2 linked regions of the Danio rerio genome follow. The protein of the gene in region 1 interacts with the protein of each later gene in a pairwise test. Links are inferred from orthologs where the notes say so. Each region holds a gene or a part of one and is shown on either strand. Other genes may lie near its edges. The genes, in order: clk2a and srrm1.

Region 1 (16,440 bases):
CATATATAAATAATCACGTTAAAGGCTTTAATTTATAGTAGGTTATTTATTAAGAAATAAAAAAACAATATCCTACTTAATATTAATAATGATAACAATAATATATTCTGTGTTCAAAATGGCATAAATGATTTTAAAGTGCACTACAAAAGGAACACAAATGACAGTATGAAGATCGCTTTATTTAATCATTTCACGTTTATATGTTGGAATGTTCTAAATGAATAGGGCTTAGTGGTGGAACTGGGAGTAGAACACAACCGGAACTATGCTTCTAACTACAGCTCGAGAGGTGTATTTGCAAATGTACAAGTTTGTGACGCAGTTTGCAAATGTATGTGTGAACGATGGATTTGGGAAAACCAAATCAGCAAACTATGTTTGTAATGATGGATCTTGCGACCTTAGTTGGCTATTGATGATTTTCTGAAACGCACCCTAGGATGTACAGTGCTCGGTGTAAATGATTACACCCCATTTTGAAAATGAATGTTTTTATCCATTTCTCAGTGAAAATAGGTCATATATTATGGTACTTTTGAACAAAGCTGATTTTTTAAAACGGATATATTTATTCAAATTAATATTTTTGTCACCGAACATCTTTAGAAATAGAAAAATTATTTAAATTAATGTGAAATATTGCTAATTACAAACTACAAAATGTCAACAATTTCCATATGTTTTTGTTTCTTTTTGATTTTTGCTCTTTTTCTTATAACATCAATTTGAACTACCTATTTTTAGACCATTTTCATAAGTTATTTTGTTTGATAAACTCCAGATTTAGCTTCAGTACTGACTAATCTAATGTATATATACAAATATATTGTTGTAAATTAGGGGTCACCAATCTTGTTCCTGGAGGTCCGGTGCGCTGCAGGGTTTAGCTCCAACTTGTCTCAACACACCTGCCTGGGTGTTTCAAGTATACCTAGTAAGACCTTGATTAGCTTGTTCAGGTGTGTTTGATTAGGGTTGGAGCTAAAATCTGCAGGACACCGGCCCTCCAGGAACAAGTTTAGTGATCCCTGCTGTAAAGCATCCTATGGAAAATATTAATTTAAAAGAGAGATTTGTGAAGAGTGTAGGGTTAGATGTAGAATTGGCCACTCGTGTTTATAGAAAGAGCAAGAGACACCAATTTGTGACTTGTGTAAAAATAACTATTTATATTAACTTTTTAATAGTGTATATTTATTTCTATTATATATATTCTATTATATTTCTTTGTTTTTAAAGTGTATTTGTGTAGCTATTATAGAGAATGTTTTGTTTGGAAATTATCTTAAGGGAAATGTTTTCAGGAACAGCTGTAGAATATCACGGACTCCATTGAAAGATCGTATATGATTGTTTATCAGTATTATTGTCATTTGTACATTTTCTTTATATTTAAATAATTCTTGTTAATTAAGAAACTGTTATGTTTGTAAATGATGTATTGACTGTTAATATCAATGTTTCGATGCATTTAGCCGATGTCACTAATAAGGCATTAAAACAAACAATAAATAAAGCGTATAGCACAATCTAATGTATAAAGTATTAATGATCTGAATTGTTAGCCATATATTATTGGTCATATAGAGGATTATTTGACGTGTTTTAAATGCATTTTTTGTTCCATCTCTCTTTACCAGGCGCATAAAGGCAGGTACAGAGTTGACGTGGGATTATAACTATGAAGTGGGCAGTGTGGAGGGAAAGGTGCTGCTCTGCTGCTGTGGCTCATTGCGCTGCACTGGAAGACTGCTCTGAAAATCAAACACTTTAACTCGTTTGTTATAGACTGCTTCACCAGCCAATCTGAAATAGTAACGGCGCTGTTCATAGGAGCGTCCTCGTCACATGAACCCAGTGAATACGAAAAGCATAGTAAAATTTATTAAAGTTTGTGTTGTTGCGTTTGTTTTTATTGTTTTTAATGTATACAGCAAATATGAATACTCTCAATGTAGTCAACGATGTAAATAAAATGTGGAAATATTCAAACTATTCTTCTTGTTTATTTGATCAAATATGTGCGGAAACCTTGGTGATTATGAATGATATCTTAAAGCAGGGGTGGCCAGCCCTGTTCCTGGAGAGCCACCTTCCTGCAGATTTCAGTTGCAACTCATATCAAACACACCTGCCTGTAATTATCACGTGGTGTTCAGGTCCTAATTAATTGATTCAGGTGTGTTTGATATGGGTAGCAACTGAAATCTGCTGGAAGGTGGCTCTCCAGGAACAGGGCTGGCCACCCCTGTCTTAAATGATGATTACGGTTATTTTTCTGTAGTTTTTTATTGTGGTAACTATTGTTGTTGTATTTGGTTAACTGAACAATAAGTGATGGAGAAAGTTACCTCATTGCATTACTTTTGTGATACTTTTTATTACCTAGAACTTTCTCTTTTTTAATACAGGAGTTCTGCAATTATAAAAATACACATTTATAAAAATCTTTCAAAGATAGTAGAAAAGCCTCTTGAGAAATTAAATAACTGTTCATATTACAAGAACCTCACAAGGGAAGTAACAAAATTTCGAATCCTAGTCCTGTGTTAAATTTTAAATTCATACCATTAAAGTCGAACCGTCGATTTAGAGTGCCAAGTTTTAATAAAGTGAAATTTAAAAAGTCATTTGCACATCAGGCTGTCTTGGAGCAGAATAATGTCTGTGTAAAATTAATATTATTTTTTTTTGTATGTTTTTAAGGTATTTATCATGCTGCTATGCAAGTCTGACAATAAGGTTTTGTATTATTATTATTGTATAAAACGCACACTATATAACTTACACCTCCATTTACCTTTAAATAAACATCAAAAAAATATTTTAGGATAATGTTATCTTAGAATTTCATGACCTCAGAGCTCTACATGCTGTACTGATTATTGAAAGTTTAGCTTATGTCCTTGCTACTTCAGCATTGTTTGTCTTAAATAAAATCCCTTTCTATTGGGACAATTCCCTTTTCCTTTTCTTCCAAGCATTCAAAATAATGAACACGTTCTATAATCGACTGCGTAATTCATTGTGAATTCTTTAATTTTAATTCAGCAATTTATTTTTAAAAAACGAATTCAACTAAAAACTAAGTCAAATATTATTACTCATTTTTTAAAGGTAATGCGTAGGGCCAGACAGAATCTGCAGACATTTTTTGCTATTTCTGCAGAGAATTTTGTAAAAAAAAAAAAATGGATTCATGCGGAATTATTTTGAAAGAATTATAACTAAAACTTTATATATGAAATAAAAAATAACACATTTTAAACTTTTAGTGAATGTGTACAATGCAAATCCAATTAGATCCAATTTATTTGGAAATCAAAGGCAGTCTCTTATATAATACATCTACTAAAAGAAAGAAAATATTACCTCACAAACTATATTGTACATAAATTACATCAACATTTTCATATTAGTCAATAATATTACTGAAATTAATTTAAAAACTGAATAAATATAAATTTACACACATATACGCAAGTAAATAAACAGAATCAATAATGGAAAAAGGATAGATAGACCTAAGGCAGTAATATAGGCTACGTTTTAATAGTAATAACAATATGCAGTTTCGATATTAAGAATTTTATTAACGAGGGTAATGCATACCGCTTATTAATGCAGACGGATCATGGATTCAGTGCCAAACGAGTGCTTTAAATCATATGTTGTTCTCCTTGTTTCCGTTTTATTTCAAATAACAGACCTATGAATGCTTAAAGTTTTAGGTAAAGACGTCAAATTATGCCCACACATGCAAGCTGACGCACGATCAGACATTTCATTTAACCGGTAAATAAATATAGTGAAATCAGCTTAACCGAGTCATCCCGCTTCACGTAGCCTATTACCCAACCAACATCAGTGTTAGGGAAAAGCTAATCTAATGTCATTTAAAATAATTATTTAGTTAATTTTTGAGGCATTACTGTAGCCAGAAAAATACCTAAAAAAGATACCAAAATTCCCATGTTATTACCGTGAAAATTGGTTAAATTTTGGCACGGATAACACGCAACTCAATATGCTATAGAACTTTTTTTTCATCATTTAAAATTTAAAAACAAAGATTTATCTTAGGCTATAAGTGTGCTTTTTTCGTGATATTGTAAACCATCATAAACCATTAGGTTACTAGGCCTACCCGTCATTTTATTAAATTATTAATTATTTTATTTATTAAGCCTTTTTTTAATAGCTTGTTTTCAGGTTATTTTCATTTTAGGGCCATGAGCTACAAGTCAAAACAAACTCGATATGTTGTATTTAGCTCCTAAAATAGATCTACAATATATTTTATGTTGTTTAATTTTGCATGAGCAAATTAAGCACTACACCTATTCCATTTATAACACTGCAAACTTGACTTCGCAGGCTGATCATCTTTAAACGCAAAAGGCATTTATTTTGTGTTATACCTTGACTGCTGCTGCATAATGGGATGTTTCTCTACACAACTGTAAAAGTGCGCTTTTTAGCAAAATGAAAGCAAACATTCAAAGGGTTCTGCGTTTTGTCAATTTTCGCTTAATTATAATAATATTAATAATAATATTAATAAATAAATTAAAGTATTATTTATAGTGTAGCCTACTGTGGGACTGTGCCGTAAACTATTTATTTTTATTAAAACATTTTTATTAGGCTACATCTTCCCGAATAGAACGGGGTCTCTGGACTATAGGACTAGCTTTAATCTCACCATTCTCATAATTCAATTGCTGTGTCATATATTTAAAAATATTTAAATGTGTGTTCTGAAGGTTGGAACGACGTGGGTGTTAATAATTAATGACAGAAAGAATTTTCAGTTTGAGTGAACAATCCTTTATAAAAACTGGGGCACAAACTCACTCTTTCTGAAGGGGCAAAGCCCCCCCCCCAAAATGCTGCTAAATGCTGCATTGTGTAACAATGGTACAGGTACACAGACGGTACTGCTACATCATAGTTGCCTAAATATGATTCTGAAATCCCAGCAAGACTCTCAAAGAGCGTAAAAGAGTAATAAGAGTTGAGCATGATGTGACGTGAATACTAGTTAGCTACCATAGAAATATACATTGGATGTCGCCTACCCTGATGTTGTCTATTCGAAGGAATGCGTCAATAGAGCCGCCATTTCAGTACAGAGTAGCGCTCGTTTGAAATGAACGCTCCTTTTAATTGAGCGTCATCTAGCGGTCACATAATCTAATGATTAAATATTATGACAACTTGTTCAACTTCTTTTATAAATATATATAACTTGATATTACTTTTCTTTTCACCACAACACTGTTCTTTTTCACAAGACAAAATTTTGTTGCTGGAAACTGCATTTTATGTACTTAAATTAGACTTTTGCATTAAAAGTCATTAAAAAACTCCCTATGATGTATGTAGCCTATACGTGCTGTAGTCAACCTTAATCCTACTGTAGGTTGCCATAAAACCAAAACAACACCCATTCTTGTCTTAGGACATTTTATTAAGCATATTTTAAAATAACAGTAAGTTCATGACATGTTAAATATATAGTATAATTTGCTGGTTTTAATCATACAGAATAATATTAAATATAGTTATGAAATAACCGTAACATAACCCTTATGTCTTAGGATATGTTTGATTAACTTTTTATTACCTACATAAATTGTTGACTAATGAAGGTACATTTATAACAACCATTTATTTGTTAGACTGTATTGTCAAACCATGTTGCATACAAATGCATTCAACAGACTTACATGACAGTGCATGGCTTTAGAGGACAAATAAAACACGAGACAGCTGTTTAGAAAGAGTATCGTTTATTTAGTTTGACATGCAAACAAGACAAACTTTCAGAAAACAACCCGGAAACATTATAACGCACGCGCTCGTGAATATAACCCGCGGTTGTCTTCAACTGTTGTCTTCAATAGTCCTTCTTTGCTCAACAGCTTAGCTGAAAAACAAAGCAAAACATTACAACAGTCTGACAAAGTGCAAAGAGCATAGAATCACCAAGAGGCGACACTCTACAATTTGGGAAACAATAACGCGCTTTTTGAATAAATTAAATATAAACAAAGCAGCTGCTGTCCATCGCGACAGCAATGAGATCCAATGCACGGCCGATCGCTTTCACTTCAAAAAGGCGGAATCCGGGGCTGTTGCTCTTGGTCATTCTAAGCTCTTTGCATAAAGTTTAATCATAACAGTTACCATGGTGTCTATTTCAAACTATAGTAAACTAAAGTTTGAAACTATAGTTTAAAATAGACGATGAGTGGGCCTCGCTACTCCCACCCACCATAACCCTCGCAGCGAGGTCCCACTACCGGCCCCCCGTGTTTCCCTGAGGGTCCTCGGGGGTTGTTTGTTCCCTGCCTAGGGCTCAAAGGCCGCCTCGCCCCAGGGAGTGCACGAGAAAACCGGGCGCCAGGCCGTGCCAGTATTCACTGGATGTTGCTCGGCGGCACATTTCGAGCAACAAACACGTAATCTTCCTTGCGATATTGCGTTTATGTACGCAAACCACAAGGAACTACAGCACAGACGGGCCCGAGTGAAGCTTCACGAAGCGGACTTCGTGAGATTGGCGTGGCTCCACTCGTACCGTCGGTATTGAACTCACCTTGGTCAAGTACAAACAGCAACACCGAGCGAACTGACAACGCTGACAGAGAGCACACGAGCTTTATAGGAATGCAGATGCAAATTTTTACAAGGCACGTCACTGCTATCTCGTTGTCATGGCTAGCGCTGAAGAGGGCTCACCTGATTGGAGCACAGACTCGGGAATCTGCGTCACGGCGAGTTGCCGTCTGCCGTACACAAAAATATATTAAATATATTCAGTATATATATATTTTTACATTTTTGGTGCTGTGTAATATTCTGAGATGCAGCAAAATATGGAGACAGATGAATATAATTGGGTATATGCCGAGCTAGTGTTGTTCCCATATACTTATATACTTCCGGTGACCGGTTATTGTGAGTTTTTTTTTTTCAATTTTTTCCGGTTCCTTTTACAGCACTCATGTTGTAATGTAATTAAAATACATTCAGTTAAATAAACTTTGGCATTCATTTAGTTGTTCAAGCGTAAAACGAGACAAAAGGCCTTTTACTCGCACTCGCCCGTCAGAATCGGCAGGATAGCGCAGTCGCTCCAATGCTAATATTATAAAGACATGGCGGGGAAAATGTAATTTAATGCAGTGCTTCTAGTACAATCTGAGGCCCACTTCATATCTGATATCACTCAGCCAGTGGAGATCGCTGATTTTTAAAGAAAACAGACCTTAAAAACGTGCAGATTTTTCCGTTGGCATACAGTTCGCCGGAAGCGCTTAACCCAGGTTACTTGGGAAATTAAAAGTCCTATTAGCATGCTTCAGCATGTACCCTAAAATCCCAGAATGTCTTTCGAAAAAGAGTACGGGTTTAACCCCGGCATCCTGGCCAAATTTACCCACTGGCCTCTGTCCATCATGGCCTCCTAACCATCCCCATATCATAATTGGCTTTATTACTCTTTCTTCTCTCTCTGTGGTGTGCGGTCTGGTGGAATATGGAACTCATGAGACTGTTCATACTGTCCGAGTTGACGGTGAAAGTGATGCGCGCGCGCGTATAGGTATAAAGACGCGTCGGGAGGAGGGGCCGGAAGTGTTTTTTTCTTCACCGTTTAATAATTAGACTTGAGTGAGAATTTGGGATCCGAAGCGTCAACACGGATTTTCTTTGGGATAAACGGACAGGGCTGGCTGCACAAACGGTGATTACGAATCATTATTTCGCTGTCTGTCACTTTCCCCTTCAAATATTCAGGAGCGTTTTAGAGAAACGGTCCGTTGAAGATTAGAAGATCTCAAAATGGCCGTCGACGAGGATAGCAGCTAACTCTGCTAAAAAAACATCACATTTAGCTGCCGTTTTCAAACGTTGCGACATCATCTTGTGCGTCGTGTTTGCACCAAAAACGACAGTTCACATTTATGCCATAGAGACGAGTGATACATGGCGACTTTACGTTAAATGAACGAGCATAAAAATAGCGATTAGAAATAACAAGTTAAGCCAGCGTTAGTTGGTTAGCTTACCTTGTCTTTACAGCAGTTTTCAGTCATAATTCGCTGGACACACTTCTACATGTTATTACACTTCTGTTTTTTTTTAAGACATCGTTATTTCACAGTTAAAAGCATTTGCGTGTTACCGCTGTGTCTGTGGTTTTTTGGCTAAATATAGAAGTGTGCTCTAATAACTGGGACTTGATCTAGTTTGCGGCTAATTTCACAGGCAAACGCAGCATTTCAAAGTGCTGTAAGTTAACGTTATGTCATCTAGCTTTCAGATTATTTGTTTGAATTCTTCGTTTCAAATCCTCTTCTGGTTCGGCTAAATGTTTATTTTTTAAATCTAATTAATTTTGATTTTTTTAACTCAAAATTATTTTCTATTGCTTTACTATATTATTTATATATATATATATATATATATATATATATATATATATATATATATATATATTATATTATATTATATATGTTTACTAATGTGTATAAAGATCCTGATAAAATCTAAAACTGGTCTGTATAATATTTTTGATGTGTAGTATTCAATGTTTTGCAGACCTGAGGCGTCTTTTTTTCAGTTTTTAAGCACTGCATGGCAGTAACAAAGTGCCATCCATGCAAAAAATATAAATATAAAAAACAATATAAATAGTAATGTGGTGTTTTTCATTCTCATGCTAATGTCTAAGCCTGTGCCAAGTGTCGTCTTAACACCTGCTTTATCATGTCCCAAATAACTCCCCACAAATGTCACACTTGTCCTAAATTCAATAATAGTGAAAATAAAATACAGAAGATACCTCCCCACGCCCCCATGTCTATTGTTTCTGTTAAAAAGTTTTTCATTAATTCATTTTCTTGTCTGCTTAGTCCCTTTATTAATCCGGGGTCGCCACAGCGGAATGAACCGCCAAATTATCCAGCAAGTTTTTACGCAGCGAATGCCCTTCCAGCCACAACCCATCTCTGGGAAACATCCACACACACATTCACACACACACACACACTCATACACTACGAACAGAAACGCCAGCTGAGCCGAGGCTCGAACCAGCGAACTTCTTGCTGTGAGGCAACAGCACTACCTACTGCGCCACTGCTTCACCCTGTTAAAAGGCTAGGTTACCCCAAATTGAGAATCCTGTTATCGTTTACTTCTCCAAACCTGTTTGACTTTCCTCTGTTGAACACAAAAGAAAATATTTTGAAGACAGATAAAAACCTGTAACCCTTTACTTTCATTGTACTTGTGTTTCCTGCTATGCAAGTCAGTGGTCACAGGTTTTCAGCTTTTTTTTCAACAGTGGAAACTCATAAAAACCACTTAAGTGTGAGTAAATGTACATTTTTCTGATCTCTTTAATGACAGGGCTAGATAATTTGTTAGATATCAGTTTGAAAAAATAGAATTAGTAATAATAATTAGTTGAAAATTATTTTTTATTTAAAAAAAGTTCGGAATTGATGAGACGTCGCATTTTGGTGTTTACAACAATTAATCTAAATCTTTCTTGTTTTACTCATATATTGACGTTCTATCGTAACTGATATATTGATTTAAATAAAAATAAAAAAAACATTATGCTTGTTCTTATCTGTACTTATGGAAAATTGTAATTTAGGTATTATACAAAAGTTTATATTTTAAGTGATTTTTTTTATTTGACATGGTTGAAATAAAACAAATTACATTTTTAATACATCCTCATCCTGTATACACAAAGTTTTATGCATGTAATGTGCATATGGGCATTTTCACGAACAGGTAATGATTTATTAAAAGTTTCGTACAAAAATTAATTCTAAATCTATGAAGAAAAAACAAAAAATTAAGAACAACTTTTACCACTGGTATGTAACACAGCACTGCCTTTAGTATACAATGTTTGTTCCATTAGGTGCACAAAGTTCTCCAGAATGGTTCGGTAGTCCTTGGCAGTAACAGGCCCATCTAGCATGAGTATTGGGCATAGGGAATGCCATGACATTGCAGCCCAAACCATCACTGATCCACCCCATGCTTCACTCTGAGCATGCAGCAGTCTGGGTGGTGCACTTCTTTGGGGCTTCTCCACTCTGTAACTCTCTTGGATGTGGGAAAGAGAGTGATGATGGACTCATCAGAGAAAAATACATTTTCACATTGTCCACAGCTCAAAAGATTTTTGCTGTTGCAACTATTTAAATGCTTGTTTTACTTTTTTCTTTTGATTTTTTTTGAAAAAATTTATTAGTATTTTTTCCTTCTTCAACTCAAGCAGATGCCACACTCCAGGCGGTATCCGTCCTCGGAGAGGGCCAGCCGCAGCAGCTACCAAGATCGATATAGAGAGCGGGACAGAGACAGAGATCGAGGAAGAAAACCTCGACATCGCCGCTCTCCAACCTATTCTTCCAGCAGTGAACGTGAGAGGAGAGCGAGAGGACACAGACAGGACACCGGCTATGCCAGATCCAGGAGGTATAAACATTTCCATTGAGTAGTGCTGGAAAACAAACAACCTGGTTCACCAGTTTATTATTATTATAGAGCTTAAAAGTCCACTCACTAACAGGAAGGCCTAATCTCAATTCTACCCCTTAGCCCTTCCCCTTGTCCCAATTCTTTTTAGCTTAGAGGCGTAGGGCTAATCGCAAGGGGTAGATACCCCTTAGAATGAAGATTTTTCAAGACCACGCTCGAAACCAAGAGGTCAGAAAATTTCCCAGAATACACCAGCCATAGTTGCACCCGGAAGTAAGGAGATCCACAAATTATTTTTATTGTCATTATTACAACTTTTTACAACAAACAAGCATGTTTTTATATATTTATAACCGCGTTTGTTTTACCGTCATGCTTTTAAAAAAACCTGTTAAAATAAAAAACGCTAAATTTTACGATCTATAATCGCTAATAATAACTCCTGTACAGCAGTTCCACAACATTTTGACACCTGATGAGACTCGAATACCCTGTCAGTAAGGTCTAGTGGCTGGAAATGAGCTTTTTACAGTGTCTGCTATAGTGTTAATGTTGTTTTGCTGTGTGTTTACATACAGTAGATGAATATGGCCACGGTGTAAATGCACAGTATATTTATCATCTTATTGCCACATTAGATCATTATGAGAACATATTTATCTTCAGGAAGTCACTGAAGGCATATATTATCAAAAAAATAAATAAATAACACAACTGGAATAACTACAGCTGATTGTCTGATCTTATATAAAGCATGAGATCGCGATGACGTGTGCAGGTGCTGTCCCAATTCTTAAGGGTACATTTGGAAGCCCTTCCCCTTAACACTCTGTTTTAAGGGCCAAGCGGGAGGGCTACAAAAATATAATTGGGATTGGGCGTAATTGAGCAGATTTTTCAAGTAATATGGTTGCCGTCTGTCCTAACCTCCAAACTCATCAGTTTAGTTGTACTGTAAATGAAAATTGGGTAATGATGCTTTTTTTCAGTGAAAATTGCAATACTAATATTTTCTTGATTTGATTTCATAAATCATTTCTAGTAAATAATTTAACAAATGTTAAGCTACAAAAATGTCTTAAGCATATTCAGCATATTAGAATAGTTTCTGAGGGTCATGTGACACTGAAGTTATACTTCGGTTTTTCATTACAAAAATAATTTGCTATAATATTTATAATATAATCATAAAATAGCATAATATTGCAGATTGTACTGTATTATATTTATATTGTATTGAAATTATAGTCATGTTATTATATAACCACAGCTCTGCAAACAAGAACAGCAAAGATTATCTATTTATTTATTTTTAGACAAAATAATTGCCTTCCACTAATTATGCATCCACACATTCAGTATCAGTAATATCTACTAATGCATAATAGTGTTATTGCAATTTAAGGGCGCACTTGCACTATGCTGTCCGAACCATTCCCAGGCCCGTTTTCCAGATCGTTTGAGAAGTGTGAGTGCTCTGAATTGGGGTCAGGCACGGTTCAGTTGGCTGGCCCTGGCCTGGTTGGAAGGTTTGCCAGAGTGCGGTTCACTTTGGCTTCGGCGTGGTACACTTGTAGTGTGAGTGCAAAGCGCGCTTGAGCCCGAAACTGAAGACGAGTCGTGACTTTTATGGGAGTCTTTCATGTGTTTATTAATCATTCTCACTGTTCAATGAACGCAAACAGACGTAGATTATTAAAGATGCAAAACCCTCACTGCATGATAGCTGTACCTTCAGCAAACCTAAATCCTGCAGCACGAGGACTTTGATTGTTTATGAGCCTCACAAGTGGCTGATCTGTTTGGTGAAATATTTGACTGTCACTGGAATCTCAAACAACTAATACGATATAACCAACGAAATCTCCACTATGCTGAGCGAGAGTGCTTCTTATTAAACAGCGCTTCAGTGATGGTGTAAACGTGCTCAGGTGTGAATGCAATGCGAGTGCTTCGGCCCAGTTTCAAGGCAACTGTACATAGGGTATACTTTCTTTACATAGGGTACACCCCTATACACTTTCCCATGAAAGTGCTTTGAATTGTGAAGTTTTATTTAATGTTTGACGTAATCTCAACAGAAAAATGGAGGGTGGGACAGACTATTCCCTCCCATTTTTAAAATACAGCCAATAGCATTTTGTATCACAGATCCGCTGGTGAGTGGTTGAGCTCAAGCGCATCAAATAAAAAGTATCTTGAAGGGGGCGGGGCATGTCAGATACTAGAGAGCATTTGATTGGTCAGAAGATTTAATGAGAATCTAAATTATAAAGTGACGTGAAAAAAAGTGATTGATCCATTTAGACGTAAGTGACAAACTGCACACTTTAAGTGTTTATATCTTCGAAGTGCTAATATTGTCTATTTTGTAGCACACTAGCTTGTAGATATCCTAAAAACTAACATACTGACAATACAACATCTAAAAAAAAAAAAAAGATTTGAATTTCAGGAGACCTTTAATGACTTTAATTTAAATTGTATTGCAAATGTTTTTGTCTGCTATACCTGATCAACAACTTATTAGGAGTTTAGCATTTTATCAGAGGTGCATCTGATTTCAGAGCTCTCTTTCATCTTCTCCTCAGCTACGACAACCGTTCTTCAGACCGCAGGCCATACGACAGACACTACGGCGAGAGCTACCGGCGCTTGGACCACAGCAGGGAACGGGACAGGGATCAAAACAGGGATCACCGGACGCCGAGCAACTACTACTCTCGCGACGCCTCGCCCAGCTACGACTTTCGCCGGGGACGCGACCGGGACCGCGAGGACTCATACCGGAGGAAAGGCAGCAGGCGTAAGCACAAACGAAGGCGGCGTAGAACCAGGTCCTATAGCGCATCCTCCTCGGTGAGTACTTCAATACCCAAGCCTGCTCTTTCCCTCCCCAAATCCCTTCTTCTCTCTCCACCTCTACACGCTCCTGTCTCTCTTTCCCCATAACGCTGTTCTTTTCCACAGCCCCAGGATTTGGTAAGTATGAACTCCTTTGTTTTATGTTCTTCTTTTTGTTGATGTTTTGTCTTTTTTTAAATAGTGATAGTCCATATGTTGGCTTTCAGTGTTTTATAATGGAATTGGCCTTGTGTTTAACAAATTAATGTAAGGCTCACATTAATCACTGTAGATTTTATTCTAAATATGAATAGTAATGCTTTTATTGCAAGAGCCTCTTTAATTATGTTATAAATCTCATCCATTCTCTATCTACACACTAGGAATGCTCCGATCGATCAGCCAAAGATCACTATCTGCCGATAATTACATTTCGTGACTTAATCTCAATTCATTAATTAAAAGAAACTATTCAAAAATACACAACAAATTTTTAAATATAAAAACTATTTAAAAATATGCTAATTTGATTCATAAATTCAAAACATGATTACAAATACACAAATTTTTAAATGTAAAAAATTTGTAAGTTCAAAACACAATTCGTAAATATGCAAATCCAATTTGTAAGTTCAAAACACAATCCATAAATATGCAAATACAATTCGTAAGTTCAAAACACGATTCATAAAAATACAAATCCAGTTCGTAAGTTCAGAACACGCTTCATAAATATGCAAATCCAATTCGTAAGTTCAAAACACGATTAATAAATTTGCAAGTCCAATTTGTAAGTTAAAAACACAATTCATAATTATGCAAATTTAATTCGTAAGTTCAAAACACTATTCAGAAATATCCAAATGCAATTCGTGAGTTTAAAGCAATTCATAAATATGCAAATCTAGTTCGTAATTTCAAAATATGATTAATAAATATGCAAATCCAATTCGTAACTTCAAAACATGATTAATAAATATGCAAATCCGATTTATAAGTTCAAAACACGATTCATAAATGCACAAATACAATTTGTGAGTTCAAAACACGATTCATAAATACACAAATACAATTTGTGAGTTCAAAACACGATTCATAAATGCACGAATCCAATTCATTTAGTGAAAATCTATATGATTTTTACTTGTGAATCTGCAAACTGTTTACAGATGTACAAATTGGATTTTGTGAATTGTGCTGTGCATGTATGAATTATTATTATTATTATTATTTATTTTTTATTTTTTTGAGACTGATCTGGCTCCATATTCATACAGTCTAAAGCTGCTTCTGGCCATGACATGTTCACACCTAAATAGTTATAAAAGATATTTTAGGTAAGGTGAGCTCTACTCTTAAGGTTCATATTCGGAGGGAAAACATGCTTAATGCATTATAAAGCTTGAAGCATTAGAGTCAATACTCTGTATCGTCGATCACCATGACAAGGAATCAGTACTCGTTATCGGCTGCAAAAATCCTGATCGGAGCATTCCTAACACTCTTATAGAAGTCTTTCACACAGTTTATATATAAAATAAAAAAAGTTGCTCAATTTTGGCTGTTTAATTTGATTTTCAGTCTCCCACACTCGAGCAACCTGTTTCTGTTTTATGGATTGATGGTTGTGAATTAGCTATGCCTTTACTCATGTGCTCTTGAGTAAATGTTGATGCAGGTTGCTTTTTTTGTGACTTCTTGTCAGGGTTGCTAGGCTGAGGGATGAGTGGGGAGAATGTAAGCAAGCAAGAAGGGAGGGGTAAAATGTTATCTTTGACTTGATCCCTTGCACTATATCCCTATCGTTATATATATCTCCTCACGTGGTGTCATACGAATCGCCCCATGACCACCAAACCTACCTACAACATCAACTACAACACTGCTCGTCTTCGTCACCGTGGCTGCCCCCCTGCACTCTCCCGCTCCCCCTCCTCCTGACCTCTGACCTGTGGCCCAAGCAGCGGAGTGACAGCGGGACGAGGGCACTGTGTGTGAGGGACGACGAGGAGGGTCACCTGATCTGTCGGAGTGGCGACGTCCTGCAAGAGAGATGTACACACTGCCACTACTACTACTCCTCTACTCCTATATCGTAACCTTTCTCCCTATCAGTACCAGCACACAGCAGACACACAGGGGAGGGCAGGAGGTCATGATGATGATGATGGTGGTGATGATGATGATGATTGTTCTCCCCTTTTGCCGGCACAGGCGATGGGGGAAGGCATGTCTAACATGTCTTTAGCCGCTCCTTTATTTATTCTTTTCAGTGGGGATGGGCTGATTGTGTTGCTGTGTAGAATTATGATCCCTTTATTTTTTTTATCTTGACATTACCGAGTCTCCATAAAAAGTGCCATTTTTATTATGGTCTTGTTGGAGCATTTGGCTACATCAAGATTGACATCGCCCCAACATCGTATGCTGTCAGTCATGTAGATTGTAGGATCTGTTTGCTGTGTGACGTTTAGAATATACACATTTTTAATAGCTAGAGGCTTTATTTACTTTAAGTCCTGTAGTCTTAAATCCATTTTTTAATCAAACAAACTCTCCTTATTTTTGTTCGTCAGACAGATTTATTTTACTTTTATTTTTTTTTAAACTGCAGGCTATTTTTAATAATGGAAAAAAACATCTTAAATCTTCGACTGTGTGCTTATTGACACTCGCCTGATTTTCTTTTTAGGTTAACTCGAATAGATAGTCGCATTTACAGTTAAAATTGTCATTTTTAGGAAATCTTTAGAATTGTTTTCCCTTTAAATGCATTGTCTAATTGCTGTCTTTAAATTTCCCCCTCCCCTTTCTCTACTTCTTTCTCTCTGTACTTGTCTATTAGATGAGATTGTCAGCACTTTGGGTGAGGGCACCTTCGGGAGGGTGATGCAATGTATTGATCATCGCAGGTGAGCATCATCACTTAGCAACCAATCAGCTGCTTCATTGCGAAACCAGCATGGTGTGAACGTCAAACAAAAAAAAAAAGTGTTGTCCAGCTGTTTAAACGTCTGTCTAGTTGTTAAGCTGGGAAATATCTGCTCTGTTGGACAGAAATGAAGTGTATGATCC
Region 2 (16,414 bases), on another chromosome or scaffold:
GTTGTGTAAAAATCCCAGTAGATCAGCAGTTTCTGAAATACTCAGACCAGCTTGTCTGGCACCAACAACCATGCCACATTCAAAGTCGCTCAAATCATCTTTCTTCCCCATTCTGATGCTTGGTTTCAACTGCAGAAGATTTTATTGACCACAGCTACATGTCTAAATGCATTGAGTTGCTGCCATGTGATTGGCTGATTAGAAGTTTGTGATATTGAGCAGTTGTGGTCGGCAATTATATTTATGTATGTATTATGTCATGTTTGCATCAAATTACTAAAAACAAATGACAGATTATGTGAGCCGTTTGAACTGCAGGACTGTTATTAGTCTTGCAAAATTGTATTATTTTTTTGCTTTTTCTGAATGTCTTGATAACACCATCATGGAGTTTTTCTTTAGCAAACAGAGTAAAATTATTTGTTATACTCTCCCATTCACTGCACTTAAAGTTTACATAACTATGAAGGCTTCCACTACTGAGAAAAAAAAAGGGTATGCCAATACATATCGTAAAGCGTTAAACTTATTGCCCCGTGGGATTCTCTGCATTAATCTGTGCTCTCTTGTATTTGTCTGTTCTGGACAACCAGCCTTGTAGAGACTTGAATGAGCAAGTGATACTTTTTAAGATGCAATATTCTAGAAATCTGCCAGTGAGAGTGAGCTCAAGTGTATCAAATGAAAAGCTTAGGAGAAGCATCTTGAAGGGAGCGGGGCTGTCAGGCACTGGAGAGCATTTGATTGGTCAAGCTTTGATAAGCAAATGAAATATGAGGTGATGTGAAAAGAAAAAAACAATGATCCATTTAGACGGAAGTGATAAACTGCAAGCTTTACATGTTTTTGCCAGTTTTGTATCTCCTAAACGTGAATTTTAACACTGTTTTAGTGCACACCAGCATACAGATGTTCTTAAAACTAACAGACTGAAAATACATCTACACATTTTTATTTTTATTTTATGGGAACTTTAGGGAAATGATAACAAATAGCCAGATTAATACCTATAACAGGGATTGTATGTGGAAGAGTTCTCTAATTTTGATCAGTTTTCTTTTTTAGAATGTTTATGTAATTTAGCATCTCAGAAGTACAACTATACAAATATAAAAGCCTTGATAACTGCAATAATTAACATGCTCATAAAGTGTTATGTTCATTCTGTAGCAGACAGCTGGCCAGTGCGGTTTGATGATTCTAATGCTCGTCAGGATTGGGGCTGGAAGCCTGCATTCAGTCTGTCAGAGCTGGTCACAGACATGCTGGCCTCCATCCGCGAAAAGAGAACCAATGCTGGACTACCTGTCAGCTAGCAGGTCTTCTCAGGGACTGACTGAAACACAGATCACCAGCATTTGCAAACTCTCCTCGTCTCAAATTTGGGAGTTGATTCTTTGGACCACATTCCGTCAGTCAGAGAGCTGCTAATACAGGCAGTTCTCTACAAACATATGCTTGTGAAGAAAACATGTAATTCAACAGCGAAAGCTTACATTCTCTCATACTGCTCAGGAGACTCTGTCTATCTTCTCTGTGATCTACTCTTACAGTACATAGTTTTTAAGTTGTTGGGGGGAAAAAGAAACGACAAATGCAAATGGATATGATGACGATGATGAACATGATAGCAATATTAATGCAATGATATTACTCTATGTACTAGACATAGTTAGCAAGGTCAGCACTGAAAAACATTCTGGCCCCAGTTTTCACCTTCAGGACTCTTATAGTTCTGATGTTATAATCAAAATACAACTTTTCTGGAAAGGAATGAATGGCCCAGAGATGCTACATTTGCACAAATGCAGTAAAACCTTTAGATATCTTTCACTCTACAGTGCTCCAGACCATGTATTGTGTGCAAGATGTAAACAGTCCACCTCGATTTGAACACATTCATGGGTAGAAGAAGCTTTAAACCACTACTAGCTTTAGCGTGAATCAAGGAAAAAATCAATATTGCCTTTGTTCCAGCTGCTATCTGTGAGAATTTCACAGTTGCCTGAATTTTGGGTTCTGTTCAGCCCATTATGATCTGTAATGGCTTTATTTATTTAGAGTCAGCTATCGAAGGGCTCTGGATTCACAATGTATAGTGTGGTGGTGTGAACTAAGTACTTAATCTATCAGCGCTGCTGATGTATTATTTATACACTGTGAAGTGAAATGTATTTTTTACATTTCTGTTTACTCATAAGAGCAACACTGCTGGCTTAAACACCAGCAGAGGCCTCACCATTTAAGGGAGTGTTTTTTTTTATTCAGCCTGTCTGAAAGTCTCCCTTCTATAGAAGGAATTGTGATTTCTGGACAAAAGATATTGTGTTAAACCGCCTTAATGTTCAGTTATCACTCAACCTCACAAGTTGCTAATGATTCTCATTCAGAACTGGAAAGATGCAGTGTATGTCAAATAAACGACTTTAAAGCAGCACACCGTCTATGTCTTTTGTCATTATGGGTTTTAAAATTAATTAAAAAAAGATGGATCTATGAGGCAATGTTTATCACATTTTATTTTTCCAAGAAGTCTCAAATACTTACTGCAATGAATTAAATGTATTGGAAAACAGCCTTAACAAAGAAGACCATATGCTAAAAAAAGTACACCAAAAAGTTGTACAAAAGATATGGAAGTGTTTTGCTTACAAAAATTAATTCAAATGTTCAAACGATCAAATAATATAAGCAATATTATTATTATTCAAATAATTTTCTTAAAAGCTCAAATAATAAAGCAAATTTTCCAAAACTCTAACAGAATTTACAATGCTACTTTAATGCTTACTTTAATTTCCGTATAATGGAAATAGTGTTGGTTTTAAATGAATCTGTAGTGTGAGTTTCTGCTGAGTTCCATTGTTGGCAAGATAAGTACTTTGAATTTGGGGGAAAATGTACATAAGATAAATCCTAAATGAATATGTCCCAAAACTCGTTTTTAAACCACATAAGAAGGCCTACTGGTTTGTTAATAGCATGTATAGTGGAAACCAACTCCTGTAAAGTTAATGGTTTACATTACAATGTTTGCTAGTTCTTCAGCACTGTAACTAAATAAGTTTTATATTACATTATCATTGAAATATCGTAAAACTAATTTTTATAAAAATCTTATTTTAAAATAATGAAATTAAAGACCGTCTCTAGGCACATGACTGCTCAACTTCCGGAAGTGAGGTCAGAGAGCTATCGTGTCGCAGTGGATTGTGGGACATCGTGCCATATTGACACACGACAGAAATGGACGCGGGTTTTTTCCGCGTAAGTGTTATATTCTTTTACAAATTATGCTCTATAAACATCGAGTGTGTTGTTATGCATCTATTGTTTATCAATTGTTTGACCGGCTCGTTGTTTTAAGGATATTTTATATGTGTTCATTGGAGTGTGGCTGTAATGGCGGCTGCGTGAGGTAACCAGAAAATACCGCACAGATTAACAGGAACAGCAGATTTGAAGACATAGGCGCGTTTAATTACCTATTATCACAATTGTTGTTACAAATAAACTCAAATGTAACGTTAAAAAAAGTCAGCGGTTCTGGGATTAGCGATGTTACGCATGTGTAATACAGACTGAAACCGAAATTAAGTGGTCCTGTGCTACGACGTTAGCCTAATAATCTGTGTAACGTTAGTCTAGTTTTTGCGTATATACATGATTACTCATATCCCACTGAAAGGGTGAAATAATACTACTCGCATTTCTTTTGCCTCGGCCTTTCAATGGAAGAAAAGTAACCATATGAATTTTTTGTTCCTGTTTTCTCGAAGCACGTTTTGTTTTAATGATGCGTTTCTATGATTTCAGGGCACCAGTGCGGAGCAGGATAACCGCTTCAGCAACAAACACAAGAAACTCTTGAAGCAGCTGAAGTTTGCAGAATGTCTGGAGAAAAAGGTAGAAAAAGTTAAACATAATTATACTTGGATTCACAAACGATGCATTAAGTGACAGTAAAAACATCTATAATGTTACAAAATCGTTGATACATTAGTAACTATTAGTGACGTGTAGTTTAAGAGCCCTGACCAGATGGGATTTAAACTTCACTGTAACGTTAGTTGTTTAGTTTAAAGCCTGGAAAGTATCATATCTAAATGTTCTCTTAACATTACATTAAGAGTGTTCTCAATAAATAACTAAATTGTAAATCTTTTTTTTTTTTTTTTTGCAAAGTCTGAAAATTGTTCAAGGTTATTACACAGTGCATATTCCAACCAACAGGTCGTCCTAGGTCTGAAAAGTGGTGTAATTATAAATTGTGTACATTAGGGCTGCACCATATTGGAAAATTCTGATATTGCGATATTTTATTTTTCTGTGATAAATATTGCAATATTAATAGTTTCACCAGGTGGTTTGAATATCTCTATATGATTTCTGGGTATTCAGAAATAATCCCTGTTATAAACAGTATTCAGGTACAGAAATTGACTAATCGCAATGCAAAAAAAAAATCTTTTTTGTTTTGATATTTCATTCTTAGATCAAATAACAATATTAGTCAGCACCAATAGTCTAGTGGATAAGCGTGCCGACATAAAACGCCAAGGTGCTCACAGCGATCTGAGTGCGATTTTCTAACCCTTCCCCTCTCTTTGCTCCCAATGCCTTCCTGTTTGCATCCACCACTGTCCTTTCCAATTTAAGGTGGAGAAACCCTTAAAAATACTTATTTAAAGAAGCTATATTTTTTTTAACCTTCAGAAGAAAAAAAGCTAAATAATGAAAAATAGGTTTTTCTTAAAAACAAAAAAAACCAATTATCTTCCAGTGGAGAAAAATAATCTTGTTTTTGCTTTGAAATGTAGATATTTGTATTAAAAACGAGACAAACAATCTAAAAAAAACTGTTTTTTTTATACATCGGATAAGTTTTATATAAATAGAGTGATTAAATACAATTCTGTAGCTCCTGCCAACTATAATTCAGACTCAACTATGCATATCTTGCAATGTGACTATTGCAGATGCACACATTAGAGATGCGCGGATGGACTATTATTTCATCCGCAACCGCATGACAAAATTCATCATCCGTCCGCCATCCATCCGCACTAACATTTTTGACCAATTTTTAAAACCGCACCCGCCCGCCATCTGCTGATTGGGCTCTTTATTTGAATGGCTTATTCCTTTTTTTATTAAATGAATGTTTCTTCATTGATCATTATATAATAGAGAATGACTTTAATGTAGACATGCAGCTAATCCAAACGTGCAAGTCATTAATTGACGACGCTTTGAAGTTACGCTAAAGATACGAGGACGTGTCTTTTCACTTGATTCGATTCCTCGGTCCTTCAGTCTTTTCCTTGCGTCCTTCCCTCGTAACGTTATCCCGGTGGGGTGGAAACACGAGGAAAGAAAGCAAGGAAAGGAAACGAGGATGCACAAATAAGAAATGAGAAGCACCCGAGCTCTCAGAATATCAGCAGTGAACTCTGTCTCCAATCGGCGCACAGGGACAAAAGTAAATAAATAGCCTAAATTAAACGCACTGTACTGTACAACTTTTTTTTTTTTATTGTAGCCTAATAGAAAACGCATTGACACATCATTTCAACATGCTGCTATTTAGTCTACTACTAAATGCCTATTTCACTTAATTTTTTAGTAAATAGATAGAATAAGTCATTTGCATTATAGCCTAATAATGTTTACATTTGTAGTTGTCCATAGCAACCCCAAAAATGTACCTGCTTGCCTTCCACATATAATTAATGGGCACAGTTTTTCGACTATTTTTTATTTTTTGCTTTGGATGTTATTGAGCTTGTAGAAATCGGAAACAACACAGTTCTGCGACACAGATTAACCTTTATTGATATCTCTATCAGACAATACCTATTTTATATGCCAAAAGAAACAACAGGCAGTAAAAAAAAAATAACATAAATATCTTAATGTAGGCATAGGCTATTGTCGCATGCTTTGACAAACAGTTGAAAATTTTTTAATAAAAACGTCATATTGTGCCTAAGCCTTGTAGGCTCAGTCACCCCCACAATTAGAAATTAAATTAGAAAAATAGATATGCCATTCCTCTTTGAGCGAACCTGACAAGGCTAAGTGCATGTATGACAAGTGCCCCAATAACCCATGGACTTAGGATCATCCCCATTCCCCTCAAACTTGAAGCATAACGAAATACTACGCCATTAAATTTGCGACAGAAATTCTGGCAAAATAACCTTAGCCTCGGAACGTAAAAGCGAGGCCAACATGTCTAGAATAGAATAGGCTAAACCAATATGAACGTAAAATTATCAGCTGACCAAACTCAAAAGTTTATATTGAACATATGTGCAGCCTAAATAACATAGGCTAATTGGTTTAATATGCCTGACCTTAGGTCTAGTTTGATTTTTTCTTGGCACAATGCAGGAATAAAATGGCATCTACAGTGTCAGGATTCAGACGGGAGTGCCTGCATAGCCACTGCGCCCTGCTGCACTGAAGGAGCACTCGCTCGCAGCACTTGTTGCTGAAATGCATAGAATTCTCTTGGAAAGGTGCTGTAGTCATGGGAATGCCTGGCCTTATTTCTCCCAAAAGGAAAGTAGATTTTCCTATGCTGATCCGTCTATACGGAAGTTTGTAGAGGAATACTTTTGTACACTACATCCAGAATTAATGTATCCGATTCCTCCTCCCATTCTGTGAAGTCAGTCCTAGGCTTTTTCGTTGGTGCGCCAGCTATGAATATAAAAACAGTACAACCGCCCGCCACCCGCCCGAATTTAATTAAAATATTATTTTTTCGTAACGTCATCCGCCCGATCCGCGGTTTATCCGCGGAGTCCGCGGCTATAACCGCCAACCGCGCATCTCTGGCACACATTGCAATATCGAAGCTGAAACTATATATTGTGCAGCCCTAGTGTACATGTAAAAACACATTTTATAGCAGTGAAAACGGGGCTTCTTTTTCTGCAAGTAATATTTAGAAGAACTAAAAATTTAGGTATTTATACAAAGTAATTTTGCAAAGCAAATCATCATTTTAGGTTATTTCTGATTTGTAATTTGACAATAAACCATTTTTAGCTCAATACAAGTAAAGATCCTGTAATTATGATTATTTTATGATGTGGTTTTAGGTGGATATGACCAAGGTCAACCTGGAAGTCATCAAGCCCTGGATAACCCAGCGTGTGACAGAGATACTTGGCTTCGAGGATGATGTGGTCATTGAATTTGTCTTTAACCAGCTGGAGGAAAAGGTAGACCCCCACCTTGCTCTTCCCGCTCTTGTTTTATTTTTTTATACACATGCTGCAGTCTATATTAGATGTGTTGTGCTTTGGAAAGAAGAGAAGGTTTGAAGATCAATGAATAACCGCTGACAGTTATTTGAAACATTTGTCATGTGAAGATGTAACAGCAGAAACATCTAACATCACAGTGTTAAACTGTCTGCCTGATTTAAAAAAAGACAGAAAAGGGGGTAAAAAGATATATTTCTCTCTGAAGAAATGATTTGTGACACCGTTCCTTCTGAACAGCAATGTTCTAATGTTGATGTGATTTATGATTTAAAAGGCCTGAACCAATATGGATCTTATTCCTTGCATCTGAAGTATAGCACCAACTCCTAATTAGATCTCAACTGAGCCCAAAGTCTCTCTGAATCCAACTCTCCCTTGATGATGAGCTTTATTTTTTGAGGTGAGTTATGAGCAGGGCTTGACATTGTGCCAGTGGTAGAGTCATTTCAGCTTGATCATTTGTGCCTTTCTGTTTTAGTCAAAGTTTAGCAGTACATCTTAAACATAAAGGCCTGATTTATCACTTTTATGGAAATGAAAACTATTAAGGAATAAAATGAAAAGATGATTTTGCATGTAGGATGATAATGCAGTACAACATTGGTAGTGTAAGAGACTTGTTTTTTTTTTTTACTTGAGTCTCAGTTACTTGCTCATCTGTCAGTTATTAAAGACTTTGTTTTTTGTATGATTGTGCCTTTAAACAGTACGAAAAAAAGAGACGTGACCCTTTTTATCTGTTTTAGATAGGCTCTCTGTATTAGTTGCTATTTTAGTCTGTACAGATTTAATTTTCAGGAAGATTTTGCTGGGATTCCAGAGAGGTATTTGCTCTTATTTATAATACATTAAGGTGTTTCCTTAGTCTAAAACATACTTTTAATTTGTCATGGCATAGCCATATAGTAATTTGAAGAAATTCTTCAAGTTGAGCTTAATCAACAGTGTTTGTGGAATAATATGATATACCTAAGAGAATAATTTAGTCATCTTTTCTTTGTTAAAATAAAACATTTAATTACAGTTATTTGTAATTTAATTACAGCGATTATGACTGCCAGGATGAAAAGAATAAAAAGTTTGTTGAATCACTCTAAAATCAAAATCTTGAATAAACATTTTAACTTGCTAACAATTAATTAACTTTTTTTTTGTATAGTAAATATGCTCGCATATTTAAATGAAGGGTGCATTACTTGATTTTTTGCGATTGATTATTTTTGTCATAATTGTAATCACGATTATTCAAAATGATTACTGTTAAAGTCAAAATTATTAGTGCTCCTGTGAATTTTTTAAATAATTATTTCCCAAATTATGTTTAACAGAGCAAGGAATTTTAATAGTATTTTCTCTAATATTTTTTTCTTTTGGAGAAAGTCTTTTTATTTCAGCTAGAATAAAAGCAGGTTTAAATATTTTGAAACTTATTTTAAGGTCAATATTATAAGCCCCTTAAGGCAATGTATATTTTTTATTGTCTGCAGAAGAAACTACTGTTACACAATGACTTAACAATGACCCTAATTAAGCCTTCGAATCGCACTTTGAATCTGAATGCTTGTATTTTGAAAAATTTCTAGTCCAATATCATGTGCTGTCATCATAGCAAAAATAAAAGAAATCAGTTATTATAAATGAGTTATTAAAACTACTATGTTTAGAAATGTGTTTAAAAAAAATGTTTCCATTAAACAAAATTTGGGGGAAACGGGTTGCTAATATTCTGGAGGGCTAATAATTCTGACTTCAACAGTTATTTTCCTCCCTGCAAAGGTAAGAGAAATAAATACAATAAAATAACACTTAAGCTACAAAAGTCCTTCATTCAAGAGCAGTAAGGGATTTTCTCCTTTTTTTATTTGATTAATACTGATCGAAACAGGCGGTAGCAGAAATAGTGCGCTGTCACTTTAAAGGTTTCGCTTTTACGTTTCTTTTGATTCTCAACTCGTTTGTTTATTACACAAATGAGGGTTAATATGAATAATCACTAAACACCGCGTATGGACGCCTATTTGAAAATTAAAACGCTCACATTAATGACTTTAGATGTGCGCTCTGCTCGTCACCGTGTGCGAATGAGACCGAATGCTGACCGCATGCTTCTGACTGTGTGTGCTCGCTGCACACACACAAACAGGAGCATGCGGTTTAGTTCGTGCTTTTAAGAGCAACAAATGTTTACAACTGGAAAGGGGGCGGTAAATAATGTAATAATCGTTCATCTCGATTAATGGTTTTTCATAATTGTTGGAAGCCAAAATCGGATTTTCGATTAATTGCACAGCCCTACTGGATAATATTGTAGTATTTTATTAAAGAGCCTGCACCATAATTATATAAGATTTTCAAAATGTTTTTATGCAAGCGCACACAGAGATAACTGATATATATATCACTCTTCCTCGCATGGTTTCATTGTGCCAATATAAATTCATTGCTGTAGAATGCAAGTAAGTCAATACTTAAAAGTCTTTGGCATCTAAAAAAAGAAGTAAATGTTTCAATTATTCCACAGATCCTGTTGAGAGAGCTTGACCTGTATAAAGTCAGACACATTTGTATAGGCCTTATTTTAGAACAGCAGGTGCTCAGTCCTGCTCTTGAAGATCTACTTCATTGCAAACTTCTGCTCCAGCTCTTCTTAAAACCGAACTCTGGTGCACATCTTCAGGAGCACGATTTAGCACGTGTGTCTTAGTTAACGGGTCTAATAGGATTGATTTTCCTCTTCATTTTGTTGTTAATAAAACCTTTTCTATGCCTTGTGTACTCATTATTGCTTGTTCGTCTCTTGCAATTTAGATAAATGATATAGCATTAAACTCAAGGTGATTGAGTGTGATGCGGTAGTGAGGCGGAGGCCAGCCAATGGAGCGCCTTTCTCCGCCCCCCCAGCCCACAGAGCCTGCGCCACTCACACTGAAGACAACTGGACTGTTCTTGCTTTGTGGGGTTTTGATGCACTCTGTTTGTGGACTGTAATGTTTCTATCTCTCAGGAGTTTGATATTGCACAGGATGAGACAGCCATAGTGGTTGGGAGGGTCTTATTGCTCCTTGACGGGGGGATGTGAACTGGGAGGGTTCATCTCAGTTCAGATGATACCTTGTAAACTTGTAATGCATGCTCAGAGGGAGTTTATACACTTTAAAAGTGTTCTTGATTTTAACTTTTTTCATTCAATTGGTTTAAAAGTAAAAAAAATAAAAATAAATGCATAACATTCTGTTGTGGCTGTTGGTTATAGAAACCATTTTGAGGCCCGCAGGTACTGGGCTCTTGTTGAAAAGCAGCTGTTTACTGATGTTCAGGAAAGGAAGGTCTAGGTAGACTATCAGAATTCTGTGCTCTTGTTCGGTGTCAGTATTAACTGCTTGGTTTTCTCCCCTTCTCTCTTCCTCCCCTGCTTTTTGTGTTGCAGAATCCAGATGGAAAGATGATGCAGATTAATTTGACAGGTTTTCTGAATGGAAAGAATGCTCGGGAGTTCATGAAAGACCTCTGGCCACTGTTGTTAAGCGCCCAGGAGAACATTGCCGGTATCCCATCAGCCTTCCTGGAGCAGAAGAAAGAGGAGATCAAACAGAGACAGGTGATGAAGAACTGGGTCTGATCTCATTTGCTCATTTTTATTGGTTTTGTGTTAACTGATGTTGTAATTATACTAAAATTAAACTTTTCCTTCTGCTTGTTTCAGATTGAACAGGAGAAACTCGCCTCTCTAAAAAAAGTAGATGAAGATAAAAGGGAGAAGGAGAACAAAGAAAGAGCTCAGTCAAAAAGCCCTAAACGGTTGGTTTTGCTCTAGATCCTTATTCATTGATTTTTCCATTATTTTTCTATTGTTTTTGTGGTGTCAGAATTTGAATTCATAAAATAAATATTTATTCTTAAAAAAATCGCGACTAACAAATTGTCACAATTGTCTGTAAATGATATAAAATGTTGCATAACAATCAACCTTGTTCTAAATCGCGTTTTTTTTTTTCTGCTTCTCTTTTAATTGCAGGAGAAAGTCTCGCTCCCCTGTGAAGCGTGATCGTAAATCCAGTCCTTCTCGTTCTCGCTCTCCTCGACGAAAAATAAGCCCAGCCGCTTCACCACCTTCCAGTCCACCCAATCATAAAGAAGAACCGAAGCGAGAACCAGACCAGTCAGAGAGCTCCAAACCAGAGCCACTCATTCAGGAAGCTTCATCTACCAGGTGACTTTGGAAATCTGACATATTCTAGATTTTACTGCTTCAAGTTACCATTGTCCTCTTAAATGCTTAAGAAAACAGATTCAGATTCATATGCAAGTTTCACTTTCAATCTAAAAGAATGACCTAAAAATTGCAGAATTTTGGTAGCATTGTGGATTTCCAGACTGATATAATAAACTGTCATTTTCATCTGTTAGTGATCTTGTGACTGAAATGAAGCCGGACTCAGTGTCAGAGCCTGTGAAAGAGTCCTCTCCAGACAAAACGTCAAAATCAGAGGACCGGCCTAAACCCAGGGACAGGGAGAAGGATGGGCGCAAAGATCGTCCACGCCACCGCTCTCGTTCTCGATCACCTCGCTCACGCAGACGACCTCGATCCCGCTCTAGGTGAGAAATGTTATTTGAAGTCGCATTATTTTTTTTTCTTAGATTTTATTTTTGTTTACCTGCTAATGTGATTTATGGGTTAAATAATATCTCTACTTGTAGGTCATTCTCTCCTCGCCGGAGAACGAGTCCCAGAAGGCGAATCTCTCCGAGACGGAGGAGTCCTCCTAGACGCCAGCCTCCCTCTAGACATAGACGTAGCCGCTCACCTGTTCGCAGGTAAGTCTCCCTCTCTCACTTTTTTTTTCAGCAATATTTTATTCAGCAAGGATCCATTCATCAAATAGTAATAGTGAAGACCATTAAAAAAACTTGATTCAAATAAATGCTGTTCTTCTGAATTTTTCATTTGAAAAAAGTGTCCAGAAAAAAAACAAGCAACAAGGATGATTTATAATGAAATGCAGTATTTCTTCATAGCCAAATAATCATATTAAAATTATTTCTATTGAAACCTGAGATACTGAATACTAATGTTAAAATATGACTGACTAGGGCCAGACAGAATCTGCAAACATTTTTTGCAATTTCTGCTTAGAATTTAGTAAAAACAAAAATCGAAGTATTTTTGAGGAATGATTTTAGGAGTATCGTAACTAAAAACTTAATATATGAAATAAAAAAATACTTTTTATTTAATGCTTACCTTACAAATCCAATTAGATCCAATTATTTAGTAAACAAAGCAAGTCTCTTGTATATCTCTACTAAAAGACAGAAAATATTAATTTACAAACTATATTGTCAATAAATCCTATGGACGTTTTAATATGTTACTGTTATTATATTTCAGTAATTAGTGAAATTATTTAAAAACTAAATAAATACAAATTTACACTCACTTTCACAAGTAATTAAATGGACATGATGGACTGAAAATCTGGAAATCTGCAGATTTCTGTGGCGCAGATTTTGTGTGGGCCTACTAATGGCTGTTAAAAAAAATGCTAAATTGGCTAATGTTAAAAAAGAAGCTCAAATTATTTAAATGCTACTGTTAAGTCCTATCGAATTAACACTGAATTTTGTAACAATTTGTATTTTCAATCATATATATATATATATATATATATATATATATATATATATATATATATATATATATATATATATATATATATATATATATATATAATTTTATTTTATTTATTTTTTTTTTTTGTCATCTGCATCTCAACTACCGAATTTCACCTATACTTTATTGGTCCACCAGGCGGCGGTCTCGCTCCCGCTCCTCCTCAGGCAGCTCCTCCTCTCGGTCGCCCCACAAGAGAGCAGGAAAACGAGGGTCAGCGACCCCACCCAGAAAACTTGCACGTCGCACGGACCTCTCCAGCCCCCCAAGAAGACGAGGCCGCAGTCCTTCAGGACCAGACACCAGCCCTTCAGGTACATCATAGAATGCAATTCTTTTTATTTAAAATGGCTTAAATGAAAATAAATGACCTGTGGTTATAGATTGTGTACATTGTTGTGTAAATCTGAAGCGTTCATTGTCATGTTGAGTATAGTATATTTTTGGCAGTAAAGTGATTCTGACTGTAATGCATCTAAAAATTTCAGCTGTGAAGCACAGGCCTGGTGGAAGAAATGACTCTCGCTCTCCCTCTCCAAAACCCAGGCGATCTGATGCATCAGATTCAGGTGAGGCTTGGCTCTTCAAGCTTGCAGATTGAAATGAATATCATTATAGAAGCTGGCAGGTTGTCAAAAAGTCTCTCTGGCTTTTAAACTAGAAAAACTGTTACGTATGGAAAACTTATTGTATAGCAACTCTTGTGGTACAAGTTTCTTATGGCGGCTTCAAAGATTAAGAAGGTGGTGCATGTAACAGGTGTTTGGCTGTGCTTTTGTATATCATTGGTGTGTGTTTTTGGGCATGAGGCTGTTTCTTGGGCACTGAAGGACTTTGCTTTGCGTTTCAGAGGAGGATAAGTTGGGCAAAGGGTCAACAGCAGATTCTGTCCAGCAGCGACGTCAGTATCGCAGACAAAATCAGCAATCCTCTTCAGGTTACCACCTTTTAAAATTTACTTCACACTTATTTGTCCTCTTTCCTTCTCTCTCTGACTCTCTCTATCCTCCTTCTCAGACCTGTACATGCACCTAGGAGTTGTGTGGATATTATATGCTAGTACTTGTTTCAATTTGTTGTCATGTTGGGTTTATTTTTACTTAGACACAGGTTCATCCTCTTCATCTGAAGATGAAGGTCCAAGGAGGCAGAATAGAGGTGCAGGTGCCAGGAATGGTGAAATCAGGAGGAGACGGAGTCATTCACCTGCATCACCACGGAGGCGGCACAGAGATGCATCCCCAAGGTACAAGTCAACAATGTTTGCATGTGCTTTACATCTGTGTTTGACATACAATACCCCTAAAAGGTCAATCTACTCGGTCAATCTACTTTTTACCCCTTTTGGGTAAAAAAAAAAAAAACCTTTATTAGTCCTAATGTATGTCCATCCAAATTGAATGTGGCACTAAAAAGGCTGTGTAGAGAAAAGCATTATTAATAATGAGAAACTTTAACCCCTACCGCTTATGTTATAAGCTATTAAACGTGAAGTATGTAGATTATCAACATGCAAGTTTTTAGTGGATCGATAATGCAATGCAGCCAGTGAAGTTGTGACATTTTACATTTACTTTTCCTCATTCCAAAGCCTCCCAAAACTTGCTAATCTTTTAAACAAATGGAGTTTATTCTAAAAAAAAAAAAAAAGTAGATGTCCTTGTATCCTGGTATGAAAATCTTGTCTTATCCTTCAGAAAAAGACGTTCTCCGTCACCTCCTGGACGTAGACATCGTTCACAATCTCCTGTTCGCCGCCGCAGGTCACCCTCTCCTCCCCCAAGACGCAGGTAAGGTTCAGCTGAGTTCTTGAGCTCTTCTGGATTTGGTTTGAAATGCATCTTGCTTTGAGTCTTCTTTCTTCTCTCCTTCCGGTCTCAGGTCTCCATCTCCACCTCCCCGGCGATTTACTCCCCCAATTCAGCGTCGATACAGTCCCCCCTCCCCTTCTCCAGCCCAAAAGAGACGGTCATCAGGGTCTCCCCCCAAACGAAGAAGGTCTCCTTCACCCATGCCCAAGCGTAGAATACCTCCTTCACCTCCCCCCAAACGCAGAATGTCTCCATCACCTCCCCCCAAACGCAGAAAGTCTCCATCACCGATGTCAAAACGCAGAACATCTCCATCGGTGTCAAAACGTAGAACATCGCCTTCCCCTGTGGCTAAACACAGAAGGTCTCCATCACCCATGTCTAAACGTAGAACATGTGCTTCACCTGTGTCTAAACGCAGAAATTCTCCCTCACCTGCCCCGCAACGTAGAAGTTCTCCTTCTCCCATGCCCAAGCATAGAGGGTCACCTTCCCCTGTGACTAAACGTCACACCTCTCGATCCCCCAAAAGGAGTCGTGGCACCAGTCCAGGAAAAAGACGTACTCCACCCTCTTCTGCTTCACCTCCTCCTCGTCACCGCCGAAACTCTCCAAATCCCCCTGCAGCCCAACGGGGCAGAGACACCCGGTCCTCTCCCCCTGCCCACACTACCCGAGTGTCTTCCAGTCCTCCAGGTAGATATGGAGCCTCTGGTTCCTCCCCGCAGAGACAAAGACGGCAGACATCACCATCACACAGCACCAGACCCATTCGCAGGGTTTCCCGCACTCCAGAACCGCGCAAATCGCAGAGGTATGTTTTTATAGAGCGGTGCTTTTATTTGTGTAATGCAGATGTGCGAATGTTTGATTGTTGCTGTCCATTTGTAGAGGTTCTCAGAGTCCTCCGCCAGAAAGGAGGCAGGTTTCACGTTCACCATCTGCTTCTCCTCCTCCGGCTCAGAAGCGGCCTGCTTCAGTCTCACCCTCTCGCTCCACTAGCCGTTCTCCACCTCCACCTGCCAAAAAGAACAGCAGTGTCTCCCCGAGCCCTTCACCTAACAAGGTATGCCACTCTTGCAATCAGCGAGAACCACACCTCTGCATCCTAAAAGCTTTGGTTTGTTTTTTGGCTTCTAGAGTTTTCAGCCTTTTTGTTTTAGAAATATAAAATTATTAAAACATCTGGTTTAGGGTCTACCTTATGCAAAATAGGGTGTGTTCACACTTGGAAAGTTTGATTTGATAATCGTGTGCGGTTGCTCTGTTAATGCTGTTTATTGAGGTGATTGCTCTTATCTGAACTTGATGCCCACCAAAAAGAGGTTCAGGGACAGTTTTCATGCACACCTAATTTTTTTCATAGTCACTGTGTTCCTTATTGTATAGTTAAAAATGTAATGTTCAATATAGGCAATGGATTTGAAACAGATTTTTAATTGTGTGTGTAAAGGAGAAATTCTACTTGTGCACTATTTGTAAGTTCTTACCCTTTCCAACTGATTAAAAAAGTTGTCTAAAATGCACCCACATACAGTGTGAGCAAGCGTGAATAAAAGTCAACTTATATACTAAATTATATGTATACTAAATGTGTTTCTTATTTGGTCAAGACCAAAAGAACTGAACAACCAGTGTGAACACCCTTA

Evidence for each region.
Region 2: the proteins of clk2a (region 1) and srrm1 interact in binary tests that used the Homo sapiens proteins (3 or more experiments, as listed by UniProt). The two-hybrid records come from large-scale screens. The link is inferred for Danio rerio from reciprocal best matches to the Homo sapiens genes CLK2 and SRRM1.

Annotation. Positions count from the first base shown.
Region 1 is NC_133194.1:10,203,277-10,219,716, forward strand, and holds the start of clk2a (dual specificity protein kinase CLK2), read left to right. Parts: upstream 1-7,643; 5' UTR 7,644-7,756; intron 7,757-9,531; exon of another isoform or gene 9,532-9,822; intron 9,823-9,955; exon of another isoform or gene 9,956-10,318; coding exon 10,319-10,518; intron 10,519-13,112; coding exon 13,113-13,380; intron 13,381-15,326; coding exon of another isoform or gene 15,327-15,329; coding exon 15,330-15,420; intron 15,421-16,210; coding exon 16,211-16,277; intron 16,278-16,440. Other genes in the region: setdb1a (histone-lysine N-methyltransferase SETDB1-A), read left to right, coding at 1,644-1,761. UniProt on the Homo sapiens protein: Dual specificity kinase acting on both serine/threonine and tyrosine-containing substrates. Phosphorylates serine- and arginine-rich (SR) proteins of the spliceosomal complex.
Region 2 is NC_133192.1:26,816,817-26,833,230, forward strand, and holds the start of srrm1 (serine/arginine repetitive matrix protein 1), read left to right. Parts: upstream 1-7,549; 5' UTR 7,550-7,680; intron 7,681-10,707; coding exon of another isoform or gene 10,708-10,722; coding exon 10,723-10,878; intron 10,879-10,983; coding exon 10,984-11,078; intron 11,079-11,295; coding exon 11,296-11,490; intron 11,491-11,687; coding exon 11,688-11,879; intron 11,880-11,981; coding exon 11,982-12,098; intron 12,099-13,092; coding exon 13,093-13,268; intron 13,269-13,442; coding exon 13,443-13,523; intron 13,524-13,804; coding exon 13,805-13,891; intron 13,892-14,058; coding exon 14,059-14,200; intron 14,201-14,651; coding exon 14,652-14,744; intron 14,745-14,835; coding exon 14,836-15,579; intron 15,580-15,656; coding exon 15,657-15,831; intron 15,832-16,414. UniProt on the Homo sapiens protein: Part of pre- and post-splicing multiprotein mRNP complexes. As a component of the minor spliceosome, involved in the splicing of U12-type introns in pre-mRNAs. Involved in numerous pre-mRNA processing events.